4 linked regions of the Drosophila melanogaster genome follow. The protein of the gene in region 4 interacts with the protein of the main gene of each other region in a pairwise test. Each region holds a gene or a part of one and is shown on either strand. Other genes may lie near its edges.

The links.
Region 1: the proteins of p53 (region 4) and MEP-1 interact in a two-hybrid assay, tested with the Drosophila melanogaster proteins (2 studies listed by BioGRID).
Region 2: the proteins of p53 (region 4) and Taf3 interact in a two-hybrid assay, tested with the Drosophila melanogaster proteins (2 studies listed by BioGRID).
Region 3: the proteins of p53 (region 4) and CG6923 interact in a two-hybrid assay, tested with the Drosophila melanogaster proteins (2 studies listed by BioGRID).

The regions. Positions count from the first base shown.
Region 1 is NT_037436.4:2,629,906-2,634,736, reverse strand, and holds the start of MEP-1 (MEP-1), read right to left. Parts: upstream 3,023-4,831; 5' UTR 2,926-3,022; coding exon of another isoform or gene 2,821-2,925; exon of another isoform or gene 2,761-2,820; coding exon of another isoform or gene 2,616-2,760; intron 2,463-2,615; exon of another isoform or gene 2,271-2,462; intron 1,200-2,270; coding exon of another isoform or gene 994-1,199; 5' UTR 928-993; intron 1-927. Other genes in the region: CG42245 (uncharacterized protein), read right to left, coding at 994-1,199, 2,616-2,760, 2,821-2,925.
Region 2 is NC_004353.4:460,828-468,554, forward strand, and holds the start of Taf3 (TBP-associated factor 3), read right to left. Parts: upstream 6,002-7,727; 5' UTR 5,843-6,001; coding exon 5,674-5,842; intron 4,489-5,673; coding exon 3,970-4,488; intron 3,914-3,969; coding exon 2,228-3,913; intron 1,675-2,227; coding exon 1,561-1,674; intron 1,502-1,560; coding exon 678-1,501; intron 587-677; exon of another isoform or gene 221-586; coding exon 1-220. Other genes in the region: CG33941 (uncharacterized protein), read left to right, coding at 7,024-7,167.
Region 3 is NT_033777.3:11,744,018-11,751,827, forward strand, and holds CG6923 (uncharacterized protein), read right to left. Parts: upstream 6,013-7,810; 5' UTR 5,681-6,012; intron 5,472-5,680; exon of another isoform or gene 5,225-5,471; intron 5,009-5,224; exon of another isoform or gene 4,943-5,008; 5' UTR 4,873-4,942; coding exon 4,773-4,872; intron 4,718-4,772; coding exon 1,341-4,717; intron 1,277-1,340; coding exon 1,152-1,276; intron 1,091-1,151; coding exon 922-1,090; coding exon of another isoform or gene 895-921; 3' UTR 466-894; downstream 1-465. Other genes in the region: CG43062 (uncharacterized protein), read left to right, coding at 6,358-6,882.
Region 4 is NT_033777.3:23,049,137-23,056,092, reverse strand, and holds p53 (p53), read left to right. Parts: upstream 1-2,010; 5' UTR 2,011-2,084; coding exon 2,085-2,128; exon of another isoform or gene 2,129-2,187; coding exon 2,188-2,511; exon of another isoform or gene 2,512-2,698; coding exon of another isoform or gene 2,699-2,736; exon of another isoform or gene 2,737-2,893; coding exon 2,894-2,974; exon of another isoform or gene 2,975-3,044; coding exon 3,045-3,081; exon of another isoform or gene 3,082-3,144; coding exon 3,145-3,171; exon of another isoform or gene 3,172-3,177; intron 3,178-3,189; coding exon of another isoform or gene 3,190-4,404; intron 4,405-4,862; exon of another isoform or gene 4,863-4,873; coding exon of another isoform or gene 4,874-4,903; intron 4,904-4,968; coding exon 4,969-5,278; intron 5,279-5,342; coding exon 5,343-5,589; intron 5,590-5,651; coding exon 5,652-6,046; intron 6,047-6,105; coding exon 6,106-6,128; 3' UTR 6,129-6,436; downstream 6,437-6,956. Other genes in the region: Ctns (cystinosin), read left to right, coding at 1-51, 122-304, 370-730, 917-1,205, 1,262-1,364, 1,465-1,570; Gr94a (gustatory receptor 94a), read right to left, coding at 3,190-4,404.

The sequences.
Region 1 (4,831 bases), on a different chromosome or scaffold from region 4:
CACGTGACCCTTTTCGATATCGAGTAAATTAGCCAATTCATATTTTCCAGTGCAAATTTACAAAGTTAAGCGGAAATTACTGTGGCAGTTGGGTCTTAATATCTTAGAGGTGAAGTCAATTGAATCGAAAGTAAAGATACAAGATACTAATTTAAGAGATTGATCGCATGTATCAAAAAGGACTTTACCACATTTCTTCTAATCAAGTGATTAAATTATAAGATATTAGGTATCAGAGTTTAGATAATCCTGTTGTCCGAGGACTTTCTCTAGCAGATTTCGGACTTTGATCAAGATTTAAGATCAATCTGTATTGGGATTGAATATCAAACCCAACTAAGAACTCACAATTGAAATGGAAAAATGTAACATTAGATACATTAAAAAAAAGAAGAAAATAACATAAAATTTCACCACAAATATTCGGTTTTGAGTCACTAATATTTTTCCAAGTAGTATGATTCACGTAAAGTACATTACGTGATAATAATAAATATAATTAGTATGCTAATAATTTACTTAAAACGTGTAACACTTATTTAAAAAACATAAATTTGGAAAAGCTTTAGGAAAAAATCATGTTGTAGGAATCTAAGGGATCTTTAAAGAATTCTATAATTATTTTTACGATCGACGTGTCAAAACCATGATCTAATCTCAATGATTCATTTCTAAATAACAATAAATCAGCAATACATGCATATGTTTAATGCAAAAACTCAAATATATACTATATCATATCAACTTGAGTATACAGTTTAGTTCTTTGGTGAAAAATCTACAATCTATGATGACAGCGTCATTGCGAGTTGGATTTTAACACATACATATGGAAACCCCATTATTAAACTCATAAATTCACATGGCAACAAAGAAATACAAAGCATAGTTAACAATCATTTGCTGTTTTTGACCTGAATTTCTCACCTTAATCATTCGCTGCAGGTTAACTTGGTTGGTTCAACTTATAGCCAGATAACTAAGGTGTGATCTTCAATCCTCGGCAGTCTCGTCCTCCTCGTCCTCGTTGAAGGACAGCTTACTACTGGCGGCCTTGGACTTCTTGCTCTTGGATGTGCTGGATTTTTCGGACTTCTTGTTGGTTTCAGATTGGGACTCTTTTTTCTCGATGTTGGGCTGCTTGACACAGTGTTTGAAGACTATTGGCTGCGTCAGATCCGCTCGCTTTTCGGCTAATTCTGGAAGATTGAAAATGGGAGTTAGTTATGGGTCAGCAATCATCTGTACTTATTATGATCGTAGTAAAGCGTGTAAGTAAACACCTATTTACAAGTTAAATGGAGTATTTAAGTTATATAAACTATCTTAGAATGAAAAATATTTTGGGGAAAGTAGTATGCACAAATTTAGGGAGAAAAATGCCAATACATATATCAAAGCTGATATAAATAAAATAAATTTAAAAATTGCATTAACTAAAAGGAATACAAGAAAGTTTTTGAAAATTGATCTGCTTATAAAATTGCCAGGAAGGTGACTAATATGCCAGCAATTCATTATTGGATTGGAAAATGTATCTGGGTTTTAAAAACTGCAGCATGACAAATGGGGAGGAGGGAGGTGTAAATCAGAACAAGCCACCCACCGACCCCCCCCTTTTCCAAGCAGCACCCACAAGATGTTTTTCTCGGCCCTGGGAAGCCCCTTCTCGCCCGACGCTCCCGCTTCACTCCCCCTCCCGCTCCACCCACTGATTCGCAACCCGCCCCCGCTGTTCCGCCAGCCCCTTCTTCAACGCCTACCCCCTCCCCGCAGCGCCTTTGCCACCGCCACCACGTCGTCAAGCCACTTTGGCCCGCTCTTTTCCTCTTTGCTCGCCTGCTTCGTTCATCATTGTCTCTCCGCTTTGCCCGCCTCCTTCATCCGTTCGTTCTTGCACACGTTGTTTTCACCCGATTTTCTGCGCTCTTCCAAGTGGGGCTGAAAGGGGCAGGGGGGCGAGCGGAAGAGGCGGACAAAGCGAGCGGCGGCAGCTGCTGTTGTTAACTTCTTTGCCGGCTGCTTTATCGCCGCGCCCGCTTTGCCAACGATTTTCATCACATGCTCTGCTTTGGCGGAGCCCCCAATGAAAATGTCAGTGTGTATGCCTCGTCGGCTAGCTGCTGCGGGTGTGTGTGTCTGTGTGAGGGGTGCTCCGCTGGGCAAAAAAGGGAATCTTTAGGACGGAAATGACCAAGATTGCCATGGCAACATAGGGCTTTAAAAAGATTGAAAAACCGAAGGTGCTTTTCGAAAAAAAAAACACATACTTCTTGCAACAAACTGCTGTTTTCGCACTACCGTTAGATTTTCATTTGGCAAAAATGCACAAGCACACGCGCGCACTCATACATAAGCAACGGTATATACGCAGTTATGTATATATACATATATGATTTAGATATATGTAACGCCGGGCAGAAGAAGACAACCGCTCGATTCTGACTGAAAAGTTAAACTGAAAGACAAACTACAACATCCTACCTACGCACACACGTGCAACTGCCGCCGCCGCCACCGTGGGCTATATGCATGTGTGTGTGCGTGTGCGAGCGTGTAAGTATGTATGTACTACAGCGATATGTATGTATGTATGCTTGTACATATGTACCGACCTTTGGAGGCCAACAGTTTCTCCGTTTTGGCCTCTTCGGCGGATAGATCTCCCGGCCTAAGGACGACCACCTGCGGCTGTTCGTCCTCCCGTGAATCTTCCTCAGAATCGTAGTCCTCCTGGTCCTGCGGATCCAATCGCTGACGCTAACCAATGGTTATATATCCGCATTAGAATGCTGCAGAGGCCTTCCCCGTAGAACTCACCTTGGTCTCTACGGTGGGTCCCTCCTTGTAGCCAATTTCAGCCTTCAACTTGGCCAGAAAACTAGGTTCTTGCGGCTTTACGTACGTTATGTTGCGCTTGGACATATCAGATATGGCGGCTATATCATTGCACTTCTTGACCGATTTAGCAGCGGTTTTTGCACTTTTTATTTACCACAAATGTCGATAAGAAAAACATATGCTTATCGAGCAGTGTGGGAAAGCGCGCGTTGACAATACTAAATCGATTTCAACTGCTATACTTTAAAGTAACGTAAGACAATTGTAAATCCAGTTTTAATAGTTATAATGTTAAAGTTTAAGCTTGCTCTTTTAATATTATTAGTCCCAATTTTTGAGTCCTTGATATTTATCGATAGCACCGATAAGTAACAGCTGTACTGCCGTGTGCATAGTGCTGCCTGAAAACCAATTGTAGATGGGCAGCACTGTTAGGCAAAAGCGGTTACTTTTTGAAAATGCTTACTGTTGATAAAGAGTTAATATTTCTTAAAAATTTCTATAAATATATAATATTTATCCTATTATTTTTGATGCATTTCTTTAAGTATCTTAAGTTCCCATTTCCAACTGGCATTTCCGCTGAGAAAACCGATTGCCCCGAGACGTGCCATCAATTTGCGAATCCTCGCTGCCAATCAAAAAATGGGCGCATAAAACTGTCGCATAACTTGCAAATTTTCCGCTTCACCTGGAATTCCGTGCTCCAAAACAGAAATTTGATCGCTTCTGACAGCAAAACAATACACAGCGGCATTCATCAACGTCAGTGGCTTCCATTTGCAATGTCGTATGCACAGACTCCTCCTCGATTGAAGCCCCCTATTCGTTCCTGGGAACATAATAAATCATCTGCAAATTGATTTCAAAACTTCGACAGCTAACCAAAAAAGAGCTGCCGAAAAAAAAAGGCAAATGAAAACTGCAGCAAAGCGGAGAAATTTTATGAGCTGCAGCATATGTTGGCAAAAACACAAATAGGATGCACTGAGAAAACAGCGTTTCATATATTTAGTTTAGTTATAAATAAAATACGTGAGAGGAGCTAAACAAAAGTTTTTTTTTTTTGGTTTTTTTTTTGCATAAACCCAAACAAATATCTGTAGACTGACAGATAGAGAAGAATTAAATTAGTGTCATATCCAGTGAAAAATATGACAATAAAACATAAATTTATATTTCAAATATATTCCTTTTGTTTTTCCGTGAACGAATTCCCCATGAAAAACTCCGATTTCTGCATTCTGGCACGCGGCAGCAGCTTTTCCCCCGAAGGATTTTCGTCGGTCCCCGAACTAATATCAAATTGATAGCTTTTAAATTTGATTTCGCGTCTTATCACCGACCGCTTAAGCGAACAGTTTCGGAGCTGCAGCCCCCAATCGCTACGCAATCCACAGCGATGGTTGGAAAAACAAATGGAGTGTGGCCGGGTGGAGGGAGCACCCCCTCATGCATTAAAAATGAGGATGGCAGGGCATTTGATGCTGTGCAAGTGCAACGTGGCGTATGCTTGTTGTGTTTTGTTTTGCTCGCTTTGCGTCCGCATTGAAAATACATTGAAAATGCCGGTGCAACACAAGTGTTTCGGCCTTGATACGGATACGATGCTATATGCTGGATATAGAGTCATCCATCCGACCGTCCCATTCAGAATCCATAGGCTTCAAGTCACATGCCGGCCAACTAATATCGAGCACTCTTGAGAACGCAGAGCCTCAGGAAAATGTTATCACAGTCTGCATCCGGCACGGAGTCCTCCGCCTCTGCCGAAGTGCAACTCGGCGATTCGGTTCAAATTCCGCTTTACAGTCTCTGCTCCTCGGCGCTCAGATGCTAGTCGGCATTTGGCGCGTGCAGTTCAGTTCAGTTCACTCGGTCGAAAATTGCCCGGACTCGTTTAATAGCGGAATATCGTTCTAAAATTAAACATTTCGCGGAGGCACTGAGAGAAAACTATCGCTCGAATCGCTAGTAATTCGGTAATTTT
Region 2 (7,727 bases), on a different chromosome or scaffold from region 4:
TCCCTGCATCTGTCATCTCCTTTTCTGAAGACGAAAATAATGTAGATTTTCCACTAAGTTTTAGTGTTAGTTTTGGTATTTGATTTGGAGATATTCCACTTGTGGCGGCACCTAACGATGGATTTATTGTCATGGAACTTGATTTCAATACAGGTTCATCGTTGTTAGCTAAAGGCACCTTGTCAAATTCTTCTGTGTCATCTGGTATATGGACTAAAATCTAAAATAAGAATTGATTAAACTATAAATTTAACTTTAAAAGATTTTGCTGAGATATGTGTATAGACTAAAATAAAATTTGTAAGAACTAAAAATATAACTTTAAAAGATTTGGCTGCTTTACATGTTTATGTAGGATTAAGATGTTTTTGTACCTATACCAAGCTGTAGGCTTCGATGTTATAATTAGTCACAACAGTCTATATAAGTATTAATACAAATTTGGAACATAATGTATAATGTATAATGCATAATGCATAATTTAATGTTATTATACGGAATATGTTCACAGAATTCATGATTTTAAAAATGTTTCCCACATAACTTGCTGTTTTCAAATGAGTTTGTGTACGTACTTATCGCAAAGGTTGCTTATCAGCTCCGGCGTATCTACATATCTGATCCAAATACCACAACACGAACACCTATTTTTTTATAAATAAAGAATTGACACAAACCTGCTTATCTTTATCCTTTTTCTTTTCTTTTTTTTGCCTTTTATCATTGGCCTTTATTTTCCGGTCGGATTTGAAAGATGGTAAGCCAATCTGATCCGCTTTCTTTGATTTGTCCTTTTTCTCTTTCTTTTTTTTATTTTTCCCTTCTTTAACCTTTTTTAGCTTTTTGTGATGTTTCCGCATTTTCGGTTCCAACGACGTTAATCCAGTTGGTGTTATTGTAATATCTTCGTAGTTAGAAAAGGTAGAAAAAATATTGTGCTCTTCTGAAATTTTGATTTGATTCGGTATGGTTCCACCTAAGCTACTGAATGGTACTATTTTGGAGGAATATTCCGAATCACTCACTCTCGACAGAGGAATAAGATCTGCTCCCCCAGCTAAACTGAATTTGTCACCTCCCATAAAATTAGGCAAGTTAAATTGTGGAAATGATGAATGTGAAGCTGGCGTGTGGGGTACGCTTTTTACATCGGGAAAACTCTGTTTAACAAGTTTTTTAAATTTTTTAAGTGGTTCGTTAGAGCTTAGAGACACAATATTCCTTAGATCCATTTTGGATTTTTCTTCACCATTAGATGCAGCTGACGTAAACGAGGAGGGATTTAGTTCTGCGAAGCTGGTTTTAACATAAGTTGGTGATGATATTGGGGTTTTTCTTTGAACCATCTGCCTGTTGTGCATTGATTCATCTGAATCATCTGAAACCTCTATTGGATCATCAGGATTTCCAGAAGCCTCCAAAAGCGGTTTCGTGTTTATTTTGCTTGTAGCCTGTGCAGATGGGTTTTCCAATATTGTGCTGGCACAAGATACGCTTTTACCTACAGATATAAGTAATAAGTTATTTTTAAATTACAAATATATTTACCGTTAAACTTACACTCGGCGAATTTCATTGAGTCAGGTACTAATGGAGCAACATTGCAGTAGTTTCGATCCATTTGCAAGTCAGTTTGCGTGGAAGATCGGCTCAGAAATTGATCAGAATCAGTAACTAAAAATTATTTTTTCTAATCATTATAAATATTTAAATATTTTGGTCGACAAATAATTCACATATTGTAGGTAGGTACGTATTGTCAATATAAAAAAAAAATTTGAGCTCCTCCAAATATCTAGTTTATGACAAACGCAAATATTTCATACTAACCCATCTAGAAGCTTCCCAATACCACTTCTTGAGTGTGTACCTATACCTATTTTCTACATTCAACGGTTCAATGATTAGTTTCAGATTAGTATTTTTGCTGTAATGAATTAAGATATTGCCGAGACTTTTATGTAAGCAATATATTCTTCGAGCTGTGATACTCGAACTGGTATGGTAAAGTAAAGTTTGGGTCAACAAACTTCAGCTGGGTTTATGTCTCTAGAATCTTTATGCTTAATCTCAACCTACTAGCTTTTTATAGTTCATGAGATCTCGACGTTCATACGGACGGACAGGACAGGATCAGATCCACTCGGCTATTGATCCTGGTCACGAAAATATATACTACGTATATATACTACGAGCAATGCGTATAAAAATAACTCATTTGACGTACCAGGAGAATCCTTAATTGGTGGACATCGAACAGTATCCGCAACTGATTCTTCTGGTCCAGGATAATCTATGAACGGCGAAATAGGTATTCTGTTACCGTGATTCCCGAAGCCAACTAAACCAGTGACTGCAGGAAAAAGCCCAGGTCCAGTAGGAATAAGACCAGGTCGTGGTGGAAATTGCAATAAAGGAAGCAACGGAACCATTCCTGTTTGAATTCCAGGGTAAATTGATGCATTTGACAAAGCATTGGATATAGTCACAAATTTATCTGAACATTGTACATCATTATTTTGTTTTGTGGGTCGAATAGAATTATGTAGTGTTGATGCCTTTTCAGGAGAACAGCTCTTGTCTAATTGCATTACATTTTCTGGTAATGATTTGTACTTTTTTCTGTCCTTTTTTTCTTTTGCATACAGGTTTGACAAAAAATTATTCGAGGGCTGTTCGGTATTACACAAGTTGAGAGGTTCTGTTGGCGGGGAGACGTTTAAAGAACTTTGGGTTATTATCATTGGAGATGATGATAGAGGCAGTGTAATAGCTTGGCTTGACTTTTTCCGTTCGACCTTATTAATTAAAGGTTGCGATACAACATTTGTTTGTTTTATTACATTTTTTCCTCCAGGTTTGCGACCTCGCTTTTTTGGCTTTGGCGAATCAATAATTGACATTTCAACGCCTGCTTTAGTTAAAGGTATAGTTCCATCGAATATATTGCAAGGGTTGATTTTCATACTCGGAACGTTTTTGTTTTCAGAATTTAGACCAAGTGAAGGTGTAGGAGTTATAGTAGTCCCCGATGGAAGACTAATTAATGCTGAAGGGGTCATTGTGCTTCCAAATACAGATACCCCGGTTCCAGGAGGTACTAAAGTCGCCCCAATATCTGGACGTGGAGTACGTGGCTTAGAAATTTTCTTAAAAATGTCCAATTTACTTCGTTCTGGTTCTGATCCACTTTTTTTTTCTGCCAATAGCACTTGCGTTTGTTGAATTACAGATGGCTGCACTGGATAAATTGAATTTCGAAAATTATTTTCAATCTGGCTTGTTACTGTTGGCGGCTGACTAGGGATATCAGCTTGTAAAGCATTTTCATTTGAGTTAGCTTTTATGGCAAGGCCGCTCGTAGTTTGAGAATTCTGCAAAAAGTGTTTTTCGTCGATGTCCAGTTGAAGATCATTTTGCTTAAGTTTGGACTGCTTCTTAAATATTTTTTCTAAATGTTTTTTATTTGGATCGAAGGATCCGCGGTTAAATTTTTTTTTTAACTTTTTCATGTTTTGTATTTGATTAATTGAGCTGTCTCTTTGGTTCTTTGAGGTTTGTTTATACATTTTTAAAGCTTTTCTCTGTGACTTTTCCTGAGCTTTTTCAAACGGATTAGTTAGAAGTTCGCTTTGACCGGGTTCGCATATTAAATCATGTTTCTGTTTTCTATTCTTCTTAGGTGTTGTAACAGTTAGCATCGTATGGTTGTTAGACGCATATATTATTGAAGACTCTGAATGTCCACTTGTCAATAATGCAGCATTTTGTTTGAAGATTTTAGTTTCTGAGGGAATGATTTTTCGTGGATTTACTGTTTTGTCTCTGTCAGAAAGCGCCAGTTGTGGAGATTTTTGTAACGAATTTACAATTATCGTCGGTGAAAAGGGTGCATCCAAACCTAAAAATTTTTCTATAAACACCGATACATGAAAATTTATTAAGCTGTGGTATAAGGATAGGTCGTACCAACTATATCCGGTATGATATCTTCGGGGAGCTTGCCTTCAATAGCTGGACTTATGAATCCCCCTGTTGTCATTACCACGCTGCTCATTTCGCGGACTGAGCTCCCAACGTCCAATTCAAAGGCATTCGACCGGAAATTTATCACAGTATTAGGAGAGATAGAATCAATGTGCTTGGCGCCTAACTTATCAGCTGCGTTTGTTGAACTATACTCTGCTTTTGAACAAAACTCTTGCTTTTCCGAAAATTCCTTTTGAACATCGGCTGGAATTTCACGAAGTTCGGGGTCCTGCATTGGTGGCAAGTATTCAAATATGTAGACAGGTCGCGTTAGAGTTTCAGCGCTTCCAGGCTTAAGGAAGTTCATGTTTACAGATTTTCCAATGGGAAACTGTGGTACATCCCGGATGAATCCAACAGGCTCGACATTACCTATGTAGTCCAATAGTTCTTGAACATTGATGCTGAGATTTTTTATACTTAAGCGTGCATCCTTAAGGTTCGGCTCTATCCGATTTGCTAAATTAGTAATATATATACTTGTCAATTAATATTTTTATAAATTTTATCCAAATAAACAAAGCATTTTTGATTTTTTGTTTGGTTTTAATAAGATTTTTTTGAACTCATATAAATAACGTTATTAAGTAACATACCAAGCAAAATTAAAAAGAAAATATAAGAGAACGCTTTAGTCGAGTTCCTCAACTATTTATTTTTATTTCTGTTCCGGTGGTTACAAGGAAGATATATCTTAATCTAAGATATATCTTAATCTAAAATATATCTTAATCTAAGATATATCTTAATCTAAGATATATATAAATCAAAGATTTATTGTTTTTTTTTTTTTGGTGTTTACAAGACAATTAATGAAATAATAATTTGCAAAAAATACAATCTACATGCCTATTGAGGTTTCATAATCCCCAATCGAGACCCCGGCAGTCCCACAATTCATCGCTCCTTAAAAACATCCCAAGATCATCGGTTTCGCCCACAGTACCAACTGCTTTGGCTGCACAGCCACAAGCAGGGAATCAGCAATAAATTATGGATCTTTTATTTCCAGCCGAATGCTAAGCTGACGCTCTAAGTCGCCGAGCACATAAGTTTCGTAAGAAACTTTAAATTTTTAATGCGCATCGGAACTAGAGAAATTATATACTGATGTAGGTGAAAGGGACTGGGCGAGGAAAAGGGAAATAACAATAAAAGAAAGAAATAAATTAAAAGATTACTTTTCTAAGAGGCACGCTTCCTTTTTCGCGGATAACTGGGACTAGATTTATGCGAGTAGCAGGCGCGAGCTTAATCAGGAAATTCCAATGGCAATGGATTCATTTTACACGCAACAACACGTACTACTCGCAGAAGCGATGTACATTTTTCGTAATACATTTCTGTACACATTATACTAATATATTTTACTTTAAGGTTAAACGGACAGGTTGACCGGTATTCTAACGCAACTGAAAGCAAAATGCCCTAACTCCAAACAAAATTGTTTTAATGATAAATAATGATTTATTAATGATAGTCTGATGGAACTGCAGGGATGATAAGTTATACATTTATGTACATGTACATATATGTCACATACTTTTTATTGAATCTCTTATTCTACAAGTAACGACTATAACTACTCAGGCTTTGTTGTATTTCATGATCGGTTCCGTTGATTTGAGGGTCTATACCACTTACCGTGTTCCATATGTCTATGCATGTCTCGAGCGAACTCCTGTACAAACTTCTGCAATATGTCTTGCAACAACTCCAAGGGTGCACTTAGAGTGCAGCTGTAACCAATAGTTTGCGTTATCTGCGCAACGACAACAAGGGCCAAATCTGAAGCGTATCTGTCTGCCATCATGTTCTTTCATGAGGTACACCTTCTTTAGAAAACCTTGGAAATGCTGTGAATAGGTTTAACCGTCCCACGAACTTCCTCTTGTTATTAAAATTAATTGACTTGGTGTCTACACCTTTATTAGACGAACTACAATCTGTGGATGTTTAGTTAACGATAACTTATCGATTTTGCCTTTGATGGGAAATATATCGATATTTGGGGTATGCCAAAAGTGGTAATCATGGGGTTCAATCAAATTCAATTGATTGACCAACATAAACAAACTGCAATTTTTTATGTGGTTTGAAAGTGGTTATAAGGGCAGATAAAAGGTTTGCTTTCGGTATGTTCGCTGTTAGTGTTCGAATAAGACACAAATTTTGAAAATAAGACGAAAAAGTTTTCTAATCCTTCTATTCTTTAAAATAGATATTGAACGATGGAAATATAATTAGAGCTTGTTTAATAATAGAGCGCTTGAATGCAGAGTGAAACGAGAGTCTTGTGTTGTTACCCGTAAAAATGTTTTAGTTTTACTACTACTATTACTATTATTACTACGATTACTTACTACAAATTTTAACAGCATCTAATGTTATGTTTATTGTGGAAAGAAAGTAATGCCCAGAACAGCTATGAAATTACCGAATAAATAATAATATAATTATAAATATAAATAATATATATAAATATAAATTTAATAAAATAACATTAAGCCTAAAATCGCTTCAAAAATATCATGTGAACTATATCCCAAACATGTGTATATATGCAGGTAATTTAGTGGAAAGAGGGTATAATGTATAATGACACAAAACTACTGATAGAATACTAGTTATATTTTCGATCAGTTTAGAAGAAACTTATATCTTAAGACATTTATTGGGTTAGGTATTGTTTCCCATATATGTTCTAGTCGAGTATTCACACAAAGAAGCGTGCGACAGATCTTCGGCACTTAATATTTTGTATTTGTAATAATGTAAAATATAAAAATTAACAAATAAAACAACTATATGAACATTTGCATGTGTTGGGTATATGTGTAAGTCTAATAAAAAGTTTTATTCTACTTAAAGCTCAAATCCTTTAAACTTTTCAGCTAGTTATTGAAATACTCAGTATAAATGAGTAAGAAGATCTCCATCAACATTGATCTGACCAACGTTTTACTCCTTTTTTAATCTAATAAGAACTAAAAAATGCAACCATTGAACTCGAGCATTGATAAAGCAAAACATTTTTTCATAGAGAGCGGGATCTTAGGACCCGTTAACTTTAAATATTCTCATGACATGATTCGGAAGACGTCTACCATTCACATTGACGAAACTCTTAAGAATCAGGTAAGGGTGGATAATCTGATTCCCAACGAATACACGTTTACACCTATGTTAACCATAATAGGTGTATAGGTATCGTATTTCCTTACATATACTGAAGATTTCATATGCAGTCGGTCAGTTATCGAGTAACTGGTTAGTCCGTCTGACTATCAATCTGAACGCTGTGATCTCGGGAACAATGAAAACTAGAATATTGATATTAAGCATTAAGACTCAGTCACAGAGTCTGTAAGAGTTTGTTTCATGCCGTTGCGACGCTTGCTCCAACGACGACGCACCCTCAATATTCATACGGTCACAAAAAATCAATCAACCACTAGCAAAAACACGAATACACTTCAGTGCGCAGATTTCTCATTTTGCGCATAATGTACGAGCTCAAAGAAGCTGGAGTCGAAAAAATGGAATTTTTGAAATTTAAAAGCTGGAATCGTTTGCTCATTTGTTGTCTTTATTTGCCCACGTTTGGCCACTCTTTTCAATTTTGAAAAAGTGAATACTTTAGAAAATATGAGACGTTCTAGTTAACCTCGGTATTATTATTTTGACCATCTCTTAAA
Region 3 (7,810 bases), about 11 Mb from region 4:
TGTAAACCCCAAACAGAAATAAAGGTGTATCGTATTTTTATCGGTGGAATAAAAATCAACAGACGTTTATTGGATTATTTATTGATTTCTGCCGTCTTAGACAGCCAATTTTTAAAAGTTTTAGGAAACTTTCTATAATATAAAACCAACCTTTTTAAAATATGTTAGCTCAAGATTTAAAAAATTGCATCGAATCAATTCACTTATATATGGCACGTTATGAGATATTGAGCAATAATCCGTAATCTATTAAATTAAATAGATGTACTATATATAATTTGGTAATAGCAAAGACACTAGAATAGAATAGAATTATTCTAGGGTCTTTGGTAATAGAATAAAAGATTATTCTCTACATTTTTGTGACTAATCAAAACATAACAAAATTTGTTAAATAATGAGAGGAAATCGTCCAGATTTTAAGTCCTTCAAATAATTACTCAAGAAAAATGCAAATTGCCAAATCGATTTCTAATCGGTTAAGTTTAGGGTCCGATGTTATATTATTTTGTGTGATCATTAAAAATATAACAACAAGCTGGGGTCAAAGTTATCATATACGCCCGTCGTGGGAATTCTATACTATAACAATATACGCATATTTATGAAATTCTTATCACAAGAATTTTGTTTCACAAAACGTAGACAATTTGTACATATGTATAGGAAATTATTTGCCGAATCACTTAATATACTTAGACATAGAAATTGAGCCAAACAAATTTAGCTTTTTGATATCTTTCAGCGCAACACGGCAGCAAGCTGTGGCAACTGCCTTTTACATACGTTGCGGTGGGTTAAACATTTTAAGGTATGTATATAGGGGTTTTTACGAATATTTCATTCTTTGTTCTTGTATCGATGCATGCCGAGAACAAACTCAGTCTGAGGGATTTACATAAAGATGCCGTGCACACAATGTCATAATGCGGCGGAATTGGCGGCATCTGGGACTCCGCTGGAGCTGGGGGGAAGAGCGTCGTTGGGCATGTGTGTTTCGATGTCGACGCGACAAATGGGGCAGTGCTTGTTGGTGACTAGCCACTGATCCACGCAATCCGTGTGAAATAGATGCATGCACGGCAGGCGGCTGCAATTGTTATTTAATATAATTAGAGAACTTTATAAGGTAACGTCCACATTGAACTTACCGAACTTCGTTCTCTATCTCAAAGAGGTTTAAGCAAATGGCGCACTTCTCGGCATCCTCATCGGTCTCACTGGGTCTTCGGACGCGTCGATATTTGTGAGGCAAGGTATTCCGCTCAATAGTTTCCTGAAATAAACGTAAAAACTAATTAATATAAATAGGTATGACTTTGATTTCTATACGGCCTTACCAAAGTAGCTCCCCGGTTTGGACGTGATGGTGCGATAAGGATACGGGAGCCCAGAGATAGGGGGGCCAGCCCAATCTCCAGATGCAGTGGTGAGTAGTGGTGATGGAACATGTGGTGGTGTATGGCCCGCTGGCGCTGCATATGCTGCATTACTGGTGGCGATTGCTGAGCCTGCGGCTGCTGTTGGGGCTGAAGCTGCAGATGTCGCATACTCGCTTGTGCTGCCACGCTACTATTGCCAGAACCGGATGTAGCAGGCGACTGTTGTTGAGGAGATGGTGGAGGAGCAGCAGCTGCCGGTGCAGCGTCGTACGGCGGATAGTAAGCGGGATCCAGGCTTGATACGGGACCGTTCCGAGCATGAACACAACTGCAGATGCTATGCAGGTACCCGTTTCGCAGCGTGCTCGTTAATAGCGGAGCATTCGAAGAAAGATCGATAGGTGTGGGCGTCATGTGGCGACGGTGCATCTCCTGCATGCTTTGCTGGCGGTACCACAGATTTTGATGGACCGGATACGGTGGAGCCGGCGTCAGCGAGGTGGCCACTATGGCGCTGGCCCGGTGAGGGGGATGAATGTGGGCGTGCATCTGGTTCTGCGGTGCCTGGTGACCTTGATGCGGCTGCGGCTGATAGTGCTGTCTATTGCTATACGCAGCTTCGGAGCGTCGAACACTGAACGGCGGAGATCCGCAGTGCGGAATGGTGCTCCGTCCGGAATACATTTCAAGCGGCGGTGGTGGAGAAACAGCTGCCGCCAGGTTTGCATTTGATGCCACTCCTGGCGCTGGCGGATTAATGGATTGCCGCTGCTGGTGTTGCGCATGCACCATTGTATGTGGAGGTGTCCGGTTGCCTTCCAGGGCCGCAGCACGTCCCTCATTATGGGCCTGTGATAGCAAATCACTAAAAGTTTGTGCCTGTACCGCCGCCGCTGTGGCTGCCACTGCAGCCGCATTCAAAGCTCCACTCAAAGAACTGCGACTGCTTCCGCCTTGACTGGGCTGAAAATGAGGATGAGGGTGAGGGTGAGGCTGGAGACTCGGCGGGTAGTCCGACTCCACCACAGTTGGCAGCGTTGTTATCGCATAATAGTACGGATGGTAACGATGATACACGTTCGCCGGGCTACTTCGCCTGTGGCGGGATTGCTGCGTTGATGTCTGCTCGCTGGACGAGCTGCTTGGAGTGGATGTAAGATTTCTTTGCTGATGACGTAAGTATGCCTCAGTGGAAGAGTTGTCAGGCAGCAAAATTGGGGGCATCGGGGGCGGAGGTGGCGGGGGAGCGGGATGGCCTGGCATCCACATCGAGGATTCGTTTATCGGAAGGAAGTAGCGCTGTGGATCCATGTTGGAGCAGCGGGGCGGGTAAAAATTACCGGGGCCGGGATCCATCAGCTGGTCTAGCTCGTAGCTGTAATTGTGGTCCGAAATGGCAGCCCGATCAGCTAGAGCGCCACTATAAAATGCGAATGCAGAGGTGCCCTCATTATTCGCTTCTGTACGACGATCTGTCCTGCGAGCATAGGGGAATGTGTAAGCACAGTCATACATGGTCCTCCTATCCTCATTTGGATCCTCCGGGTTGGGTTGAGTGTCATTACGATATGGTTCCCGATCCCTTGCTCGCTCCCGTTCTCTTTCACGGCCCCTATCCCTATCCCTCTGCAGTTGCGTATCATTGGCCAAGCCATCGTCGTCGGATGTCAAATCGATTGAGAGTATGGGCTCACGAGTGGAGTGCACAAATACTACGTCATCATCATCATCGTCCGATGACCAATCATCCAGCTGCAAGTCTGGTGCCGTCAAGACTACGGAATCGGCGCGGGTCTCATGGCTGCCACGTCTTCCCGTGGATGTGGACGGAAGATTGAGATCCGCGGCGGGCTGACTATCTCTTGGCCGGCCGACGTACGTAATCACACAGGGCCCGTTCGAATTCGGCGTCGAGGATGGTGGAAACCGCACATGATGTTGCCCAGAACTGTTCCCTTGCTCCGCAAAGGTTCGGTGTCCTCTCCTTCCAGGATAGAACGAATTAAAATTCGTTGAGGACAGTTTGGAACGCGATCTTCCGGGCAGTTCCATGCGCGCATGTTTCCTAGGCGGCACTGAGTCGTCAGAGGGCCGCGCACGACTCCATGACATTCTAGACTCGCCGGGAACACCGTACATACTGTGCATGGGTTGGCCTGGTGACTGCTGATGACGCCGTTCTTCGTGAATAATCTCCTCCTGTTGTTGGCGCTGTTGCTGCTCCTGTTCTTGATCCGAGCTTGTGGACGGTGATCCTGTTGCAGCCGACCTTCGACCAATGCGAGATCCATAATCCACGCTACGTGTAGTATGGGTGGCCGTGGAGCAGGAGGCTGACCTAATGTAGGTACTATCCGGTGGAGCTCCCGCCACAGCGCACCGACTATTATAGTAGTTGTGATCCGTATGACCTATCTCGGCCTCGTCGGACCCCCTGCTACCACGGATAATCGTTACTGTGGGCTCAATTGGTGGAACGGGATTATGCACACGCAAATCCCAGCCATCATCGCTGCTCTCGTTTTCCGGCTCCAAAACCCTTGATTTGCGATAAGAAAATTGACTCATCTGTCGCTTTCTCGATTGGGCACTCGTGCTTGGCGTGGCATCCGTATCTACTGCTCTGGAAGAGGTGTTGGAGGCATTATTGGAGCGGCTGGCCTTCTTCTTGTGAGCCTGAACGGCAGACGTAGTCGTCGTGGTGTTGGTGGTACGCGTATGAGCAAACTGGCCGTGCTCCGTGTCCGAGGCACTCGATGTCACATCATCGTAAGCATTTACGGCACTTGGGGCGGTTTCGAAGGAGCTGTTGCTGAGCTGCAGCGAACTAGAGGGGACCTCGTAAACGACCGCCGTAGAGTCCATAGCATGCTCTTCTATAGCACCGGCAGGCCATGTGCCGCTGACGGACGCAACCACCGCGTCGCCGTCATTGTCACTCTCTGGCTCCATTGTCAGGGGTTCAGTCTTCTTTCGCTTGGGTCGTGGAATGGAATGAACAGCGGGCGGATTGGCGATCGCCGCTGTGGAGGATGAGGGCTGCTCCAAGAACTGAGCCTCCGAATGCGACTGGTTCTGTGTGGAGTCCGCATAGCGACTGCTACTGGCCACCATCGATTCGCAGCGGCAGAGTCCGTCCAGCGAACTGCACTTGTCACACCGCCTGGCCAAGCCCTCAAATCCAGAACTCTCTTCGCGACGTGGCTCCACCATGGCGGTGTACGTGGGCGGCGAACGGGTGTGGCTGTGGCTCTGCGAACTGGACAGGAAGGGCGTCATTAGCATGTAGCCCTCCGAATCCCTCTGCTGATTATAGTACATCGCATACTGGGAATCTGCAAAAGCACAAGAGGATTAGCACTATCTGGTTCCAGATGATGGCCAGCTTACGGTTTTCCTGTCCACCCGAACTGGTGGCCACACTGCCGTACGCCAAGGTGACCCTCGGCTGGTGGTGCAGCTCCTCCTGGTCGTTCTCCAAGCTATCCATTTCAGTCGTCTAGTGGGCAACGTTACCAGAACGGCAAAGGTGCGTTGCAGCGCATGCAGGCCAAAATGCGCTAAAATTGTGTATATGTACGAAAAAATGTTTAATTTACGGGTATGAGGAGGTACAACTGTCTAACAGAGACCAGTTTGCTTTTTTTGTCCGGAAACAGAAACAAAAACAAGCAGTGGGTTAAGTATTTGGGTTCCAAAGCTATTGCCAGCTATGTACTCTAGGTACTCCAAATGGAAATTCGGGGCTATTATTTGCACAGTTCTCGAGCGAGTAAAAACGATTTAAAGCTCAAAATAAAGTTTGAAGACGGAAATTTTTTCTTTGCTTGTCAAATACACACTCTTTTGTCAGCACCACTTTTCCGTCAAGTTTTTCATCGCCGTTAGCAGGAAATTCCAAAGCTACGTGGGGAAAACACAAGCGCCGCAGTGAAAAGTGAAAACTTTTTATCGGATTCCATGCACTGGGATGATGGGGGTTTCCACGGAAGCTCTAAATAACTTATGACAACTTATTACTAATTAAGTTCAGCAGTTCTTTATTTTAGCCAACGCAATAGGGATGAGCGTTGTATCGATATGTCAGCATATCGATATGTCTAAGCTGATATTAAGCTGATGCGTTTATTTTGTATTAACTTAAATTAAAATTTACGAATAACATTCAGCTTTAAGTATATTGAATGTTTCGATACTATTGACTTCAATTTGGGGAAAACGCCAAATCAGCTGTTCGGCTGTGGGCAAACTATGAACAGCTGTTCAATGATAACAAATGTCCCCAAAATAATTCTTACCTCTATTATATGTGTAACACAGAAATATTGCGATTTTGGTAATTTTCTTAATTCCTAAAGCCGGGATTACGCGAATAACCGGGTGGGGATTTCCGATTGGGCAAAACAAAGAGAGTGGGTGGTGGGGGTTGGCAGGCCAACAGCTGCTATTGGGGAACACAAGGGAGTTTAAATGCAATTCTTTTCGCGGGGGCGGGGGACTATTCTCATTCGCAGCTGCTGTCCGGAACAAATTTACATTATGCACATGCAAATTTGCGATATATATGTTCTCACGATTTAATCATTTTGTATGTGTTACTGGATTTTATAGCAGTAACAACACCGAACTGAAATATTTAGACAACTTTTTCTTCGACGGTGCAAAAACTTGCAGTTCGGCGATGATGGCGATACTATCGCATAGAAGCTAGCTAGCTCTTTCGTAGACTAAAGTTGCGCAGTATGGCCACACTGATAATTCAAATATTTTGGCACTAAATATACCGTTAGAAACTATACTACCACTACTTACCACTGTTTAGGGAAGCTTAATATATACATACAAAGAAACTCTTAGTTGGAAAGTTGCGAATCATAATTATCTGGTTTTTAATGTTAATCTTAATTAAACTGTATTACATTTTCTAGTTTTGCTATCACAAACATAGTTTCCTTCATTTTCTTTTCATGTAAACATGGGAATAAGCCCACAATGCTGGCCAATCAAGAATAAGACATTCGTGTTTTTGTGCCGGGGCATACACGAAAGAAGGTCAAAGAAAAAGACACTTTCAACGTATTATACTCTTCCCCATTACCACAATCAGGACGAAAACCACAAGTACGCCTTTTTCCATGTGGAAAACGATTCTCGAGTTTTCTTCATTACAATTGGGAGAAGCCGGCTAAACAATCTCGATTGGTTTCTAGTGGATAAATGGGGCAAATTCATTCGAAATGGGACATCAGTCTACGATTACCACACGGGCTTCGAGTGCGTGTACAAAAGGATCCATTTCTTGGAGAGACTGCTTAAAGAATGCTTGGCTAAGCAAAATTCCACGCAAAGGAACAGCACGAATCCCGAGTTGATGGTTCTACACTTCCCGGAAACGAAGGCACCAACCTACCACATGGTATCCATTGGAGACAATACGCGGTGCTTGAACTGGGTTATCTGCCTGCTGGGACTGGTTATACTTCTCTGCTGCCTGAAATAAATCCATATGCACAGCACAAGCCTTAACATATCATGTATTTAGTGTTTTTATTGAGTTTTTATATGTATAAAACAATATCTACTCTTTCTTTTATTGCTGGCTTCGTATTCTTTTCTCTTGGCTTTCGTTTCCAATTCTGTTTAGCCATAATTTTAAAACCAATTCGCTTCATACAAATATTCCTTGATTAAATCGGTCAGCTAATCAATTATCTGCAGGATTTCCCCATATTCTCGTTGGTGTTCATTTCTCGAAAGCTGCGCTGACCAGTGTAACGACTTAAGTTTAACCATTGGCTTAACGGACATTTTCTAAACCAAGGTGCTGTTTGTTTGAGTGTAGTTTTATCGGATTTTAAGCAGCGCTGCTTGTAAATTCAACTCATAGTTATTATTTGTTTTTTTTTTGTTTCGTTGCGAAACACTCCTCACAGTTTTACAAACAAACGAAAGCGATAGTTTCCACTTCAATACTTCAGTTTCAGTGCAACTTTGATTGCTTCTGTAGGAATTCATTGCATGAATAGTATAAATTATTTGGACGCTGTTATTATTATTAGCAAATGTTCAAAACTTTAACCAAACCCAAAACGAGGCCGTTGGCAACTTTTTTTGGCAGCAGCGTTTTGAGCTAAAATTATGAACAATCATTTATGATTTCATATGTCTGCATTTAACTTTATTTTTTGTGGTCAGTTTAATTTTTCGTTTATTTTGTTTTTGTTTTTTGGAAGTTTTTCGCACAAGTTGCTGTTGGTTGGAAAAATAGAAGAATTGGTGTGTATGCAGCATGCACTTGACATTGATTTCGTGGGACGTAAACAAATAAGGTCTGTGGAAAATGATACTCCTCTTATCAGTAGATTGAAGTGGTTGTTGATGGCACAGCGTCATTTGATAGATAGATTTCTTCAGGTGCATTTACATTT
Region 4 (6,956 bases):
TGACATCACCGTTCTGCTGAACAGCAACGAGACTTTTCTGGTGTTCGCCAAGTGAGTTGCCATTGCCGGGAAATCCAAATCCAAAACATATGGCATCGTAAATCTATTGTGCCCATTACAGCGGATTGCTAGACAGCGACGTGGAAGTTGCGCTGGGAACAGATTCGGAGGATCATTTGCTCCTCGATCCCGCAACGTTTGTGTATCCAGCGGGCAGTACTCGAAATCAGTCGGTGGTGATAACTGGCCTCAAAGCCGGCAACGTCAAAGTGGTCGCAGATAGCGATGATGCGAACAAAGAGATGTGAGTAACTTCACGGGAATCCCAACTGTTCCCGTACCTAATTGGAAAATTCACTTATTTTCCAGTGTGAAGGATGTGTTCGTACGCGTGACTGTGGCCAAATCGAGAGCTTTGATCTACACCTCCATCATCTTTGGCTGGGTTTACTTTGTGGCCTGGTCGGTGTCCTTCTATCCGCAGATCTGGAGCAACTATCGCCGCAAGTCCGTCGAGGGACTGAACTTTGATTTCCTGGCCCTCAATATCGTGGGCTTCACCCTGTACAGCATGTTCAACTGCGGCCTCTATTTCATCGAGGATCTGCAGAACGAGTACGAGGTGCGATATCCGCTGGGAGTGAATCCTGTGATGCTCAACGACGTGGTCTTCTCACTGCATGCCATGTTCGCCACCTGCATTACGATCCTTCAGTGCTTTTTCTATCAGGTAATAATATATATAGCAAATACCATTCAATAGCCTTATCGCCGAAGTGGCAACAGTTGTCGCATTGAACACTAATTGCCATCAATCAAAATGCCAAATCATTTGAATCACAGCGGATAGTTACGATATGAAGAGTAGATAAGGTTTTGACTTGTAAAACATCCATACTTTGTTAAATTTGTCCAGAGAGCACAGCAAAGGGTGTCGTTCATTGCCTACGGAATATTGGCCATCTTCGCCGTGGTGGTCGTCGTGTCTGCCGGTTTGGCCGGAGGATCCGTCATCCATTGGCTGGACTTTCTGTACTACTGCAGTTACGTCAAGCTAACCATTACCATCATCAAGTACGTGCCGCAAGCTCTGATGAACTATCGCCGGAAGAGCACCTCCGGCTGGAGCATCGGCAACATTCTGCTGGATTTCACGGGAGGAACGCTGAGCATGCTGCAAATGATTCTGAATGCTCATAATTACGGTAGGATATAGTCTATCAATTTGTGATTTTCGAATGAAATCGTGTCTGGTTTCCAGATGATTGGGTGTCGATTTTCGGTGATCCCACCAAATTCGGACTGGGTCTGTTTTCCGTGCTCTTCGATGTGTTCTTCATGCTGCAGCACTATGTGTTTTACAGGTGATTGAAACATTGTGTGAATATGATACTTAATCTACGATTATGTCATCTCCACTGTACACTTATCATTATTGCTGTGCTGTTTTCCATTTCTCCCCAGGCATTCGAGGGAATCCTCGAGCTCTGACCTCACCACCGTGACCGATGTTCAAAATCGAACAAATGAGTCGCCGCCGCCGAGCGAAGTGACGACTGAGAAATATTAGAGCTGCATTATCATATGTCTGCTGTAGAGAAAGACTTTTGTGCCAGTAGCGCTTTATGTACATTTTTAGAATTGTAAATATATCCGTATGCCGTAGCTGCCTAAGCTTTGTATAATTCGTGCGTTTTAATTGAAATTTAGTTTGACTAAAATTTGGAATTTCACCATTAAATAAAACTTAATTTTTTGTAGGAGCCAGAAATCATACGGTACATTGCTCGACCATTCAAAGGGCTGTGCAGTGAAACCAATTTGCTGCATACGGCGCGTTATTTGCAAACTAATAAATAGATTGAAGTATTGAAAAAATTTCAAAACAGAAATTCTAACTTGCCGCACAATGGGCAGCACTGTTCGCACTCGGCCAAATCCTTATCGATAGCTTATCGATAGCCATGGATATATGACATTAAGTTAGCCAATTTCCGGTTAGTTGACATCCCTGGAGCACGGAAGATTCTTGCGGACACAAATCGCAACTGCTAAATAAAATTTATTTATTTGAGTGCACAGCCATGAGTCTTCACAAGTCCGCGTCGTTTAGCTTGACTTTTAACCAGTGAGCGGAGATATTTTATTCGGTCTTACCCAACAAAATAATGTTGCGCCTTTTTGCAGAAACACTTCGATTGTTTCGCGTAGCAATAGTCGCACAATTTTTGAAGCTTTCAAGGAGTTCCTGGATTTTTGGGATATCGGCAACGAAGTTTCTGCAGAGTCAGCAGTTCGGGTCTCCAGCAACGGAGCTTTCAACTTGCCGCAGAGTTTTGGCAACGAATCCAACGAATATGCCCACCTGGCTACGCCTGTGGATCCAGCCTACGGAGGCAACAACACGAACAACATGATGCAGTTCACGAACAATCTGGAAATTTTGGCCAACAATAATTCCGATGGCAATAACAAAATTAATGCATGCAACAAATTCGTCTGCCACAAGGGGTGAGCAAATTCAAAACACGCGCTCCAATCGATAAACATTGGCTACGGCGATTGTTCGCGCTGCGTGGCGAATGGCAAAATCCAAATAGTCGGTGGCCACTACGATTCTGTAGTTTTTTGTTAGCGAATTTTTAATATTTAGCCTCCTTCCCCAACAAGATCGCTTGATCAGATATAGCCGACTAAGATGTATATATCACAGCCAATGTCGTGGCACAAAGAAAGGTACAGTGCGGCAACAAATTGATGATCGAACAGTAGAAACCTTGCATGTAGCAACACGCTTGTACTTGCATCATTCGCGCGGCCAACTTGTTTGTGTTTGTTTATCCAGCCAAGGCGCAGTTTGCCACTAAGTTTTTATTTCCCTTTTACACTTTAGCACTGATTCCGAGGATGACTCCACGGAGGTCGATATCAAGGAGGATATTCCGAAAACGGTGGAGGTATCGGGATCGGAATTGTGAGTACCTGGTCACGTGGTCACATGTGGTTTGCCTGGTTGCTAACTATTATTGTTTTTATTATTCCAGGACCACGGAACCCATGGCCTTCTTGCAGGGATTAAACGTGAGTTGTGCTTTTAATGTGCAAAGCTATAGCTTACTAACTATTTAATATTATTCCCCGCAGTCCGGGAATCTGATGCAGTTCAGCCAGGTGGGTAACATCGATTAGCTATTGCATCTTGAAGCGCTGGGACAGATCGGCCTGCACGAGGATCAGCAGGAAGCTGGCCACCGCCGAGAAGACATTGCTGATCAGTCGCATGTCCAGCTCGTACAAGCCCAAGGGTTTAATTTGGTACTTGGTCACCGTGACCAGCAGAGTAAAGCCGTGGACTGCCTGACGGTAGCGGCTGTCCGCATGCTGGAGATTCATCTCCTGGAGAATGACTGCCGATCTTCGGGTGGCCACCAATAGGTGGTTGCACAAATGCGTGAGCAATGTGATCTCCGCCAGCGAGATGGAGAGGAAAACCAGATTGATCAGCGATCCAAGACCATCGTACGGCTTGCCCATGATTAAGGTGTCCGCTATGGCATAGTACAGACTGTAGAAACCCACCGTTATTCCGAGCAGGTGGCATATGAGCGACAGAATCATGGACAAGGACATTGGGGTCAGATACTTTCCCGAATGCACATATATCAACCTATAGCGATACGCCAGCTGGTCGAGTTCATCCGCCAAGGCGCAAAATCGCTGCATGCGGTAGTATTTAGTGTACAACTTTAGCTGGTCCTTCCTCTGCAGCAGATTCACCTCCTGCAGCTGCGCTTCCAGCCGTCTGTTCAGAGCGTACAGAATCTCCTTCACCACCACCATTGCGCCAAAGTAGCAGTTATTGAGAAAATTCGAAATAATTAAGGGAAACAGCCGGTACAAGGTCCAGATCAAGCTCATCTCGGGATGCTGCCGCCTCTGTTGCAGTATGAAAGCCACTTCAATTGTTAGAGGAAAAGCCACGGTCTTGACCAGAGCCAAAACGATGGATATGTACAGCGACCTGCTGTCCAGACGGAATTCTTTTAGGGTATCAAAGAAGGGCACTTTGCTCAACACCTTGGCCACATGGTCACTGATTATCATTTGCGACACATAGTTAATAACAGCCACCGTAATGTTCATATAGCTGTACAGAGTGGTGGCGTCCTTCAGGTTGATCTGACCCTCCTGGTACTCCTTGTAGATTTGCCGCCCGTAAACCAAGCTGAATGCAATTGCCCACAGCGAAGCAAAGGCCAGATTTGCCTTTGAGAAGCGGAATCTTTCACGACGGCCCGCCCGATATCGATTGGCCAGGAGTCCGAAGACGGTCATAAAGCCTATCAGTATGATCGTCAGAAATTTCACCATACGCCGATGCGCGTAGTCGCTGGTGAAGTCCATTTCTCTCGAACAATTAATACAAACTGTGAGCGCACTTTCCACAGCATTAATATCTGCTTAATTGTTTTCCAACTACCCAACTGATGCCATCTAGAGGACCTGTCAAGTAGCCGGACACTATCGGGACACATCGCGAAACGCATGTATTTCACCGGCCGTCCAGAAACCAACTGAGCATGCGTTGTGCTACTACTAGCCACAAACAAAAGAGCATAAGAAGCGTGAGGGAAGCGGCATTCCTTGCGTGACTCAGCCGCTGCCTGCAATTTCATAAGAGCGACATGACGTCAAAGTCGCTTCGAAGTTCACTTTCAGTTGGAGGACAGAACAAAACACTCTTATCTAGCCGATTAGCACGGTGCACTCCTTCCCGTCGTCATCGTTTAGCGAGAATTTCAAGCACTTGTGAAAAATAGAATAGAATACAAAACAAATCGCCAGTCCATTTGTAACTCGAGCAAGCTGGAACATGAAGCTCTATCAGCTCTATGAGCGCAAAGTGTGAACCCTTATATGATTGCGAGTTAAGTTGACATTCAAATAATATCTTGTTTTTGCTTACAGCAATCCGTGCTGCGCGAAATGATGCTGCAGGACATTCAGATCCAGGCGAACACGCTGCCCAAGCTAGAGAATCACAACATCGGTGGTTATTGCTTCAGCATGGTTCTGGATGAGCCGCCCAAGTCTCTTTGGATGTACTCGATTCCGCTGAACAAGCTCTACATCCGGATGAACAAGGCCTTCAACGTGGACGTTCAGTTCAAGTCTAAAATGCCCATCCAACCACTTAATTTGCGTGTGTTCCTTTGCTTCTCCAATGATGTGAGTGCTCCCGTGGTCCGCTGTCAAAATCACCTTAGCGTTGAGCCTTGTAAGTGAAGATAACAATACAGATCGAACAGGATTATTTAACTATCATTTGTACAAACCTTTAGTGACGGCCAATAACGCAAAAATGCGCGAGAGCTTGCTGCGCAGCGAGAATCCCAACAGTGTATATTGTGGAAATGCTCAGGGCAAGGGAATTTCCGAGCGTTTTTCCGTTGTAGTCCCCCTGAACATGAGCCGGTCTGTAACCCGCAGTGGGCTCACGCGCCAGACCCTGGCCTTCAAGTTCGTCTGCCAAAACTCGTGTATCGGGCGAAAAGAAACTTCCTTAGTCTTCTGCCTGGAGAAAGCATGGTAAGGTGACAGCAAAACTCTAGATGGCTAGAACAAAGCTTAACGTGTTTTCTTTCTTGCAGCGGCGATATCGTGGGACAGCATGTTATACATGTTAAAATATGTACGTGCCCCAAGCGGGATCGCATCCAAGACGAACGCCAGCTCAATAGCAAGAAGCGCAAGTCCGTGCCGGAAGCCGCCGAAGAAGATGAGCCGTCCAAGGTGCGTCGGTGCATTGCTATAAAGACGGAGGACACGGAGAGCAATGATAGCCGAGACTGCGACGACTCCGCCGCAGAGTGGAACGTGTCGCGGACACCGGATGGCGATTACCGTCTGGCTATTACGTGCCCCAATAAGGAATGGCTGCTGCAGAGCATCGAGGGCATGATTAAGGAGGCGGCGGCTGAAGTCCTGCGCAATCCCAACCAAGAGAATCTACGTCGCCATGCCAACAAATTGCTGAGCCTTAAGAGTAAGCAGTGAATCGGAGGACAAAGAGATTAAGCTTTACTTACCGAACTTTCCTTTCAGAACGTGCCTACGAGCTGCCATGACTTCTGATCTGGTCGACAATCTCCCAGGTATCAGATACCTTTGAAATGTGTTGCATCTGTGGGGTATACTACATAGCTATTAGTATCTTAAGTTTGTATTAGTCCTTGTTCGTAAGGCGTTTAACGGTGATATTCCCCTTTTGGCATGTTCGATGGCCGAAAAGAAAACATTTTTATATTTTTGATAGTATACTGTTGTTAACTGCAGTTCTATGTGACTACGTAACTTTTGTCTACCACAACAAACATACTCTGTACAAAAAAGCCAAAAGTGAATTTATTAAAGAGTTGTCATATTTTGCAAACATATCCTCGTGGTGTACGCCAATGCCCAGAGCCTACTGTACCCCCACCGTGGAGCACATGCTATGTGACATGTGTGGCTTGTGTGCGGTCAATGCACTCAGGATGCAACTCAGCTAGCTAGCTGCTAATATGTCAAAATTGCTGCGTCGCATTTACATACTTTATTTATACCCGTATCTGCACGTCTTTGGTTTTAGTTCTATGCTTTCAAAAAAAAAAAAACAACCTCAAGCAGGGCGCATGCGTTGCGCCAGCGTTGCACATGTGCGAGGATGCAAAAAAGTGCAACAAACACCAGATGTTGACACTGTGCCGCTGCAGCTGCAGGCGACTTTAGCTTTTGCCACATGCGGCAGCTAAATGTTTACTCTAGCCCACCGATCGCTGTTCATTGACCTAGGGCAGGGGCATTAAGTGCGCCCTAATCGTAACGGAATGATAGCCTCTGTGTCCAAAAATTCAGCCAAAGCGGATGCACTCACTTCCATTTGGGGCCTGTCCTTCTTCGACCGGCTGCCACTT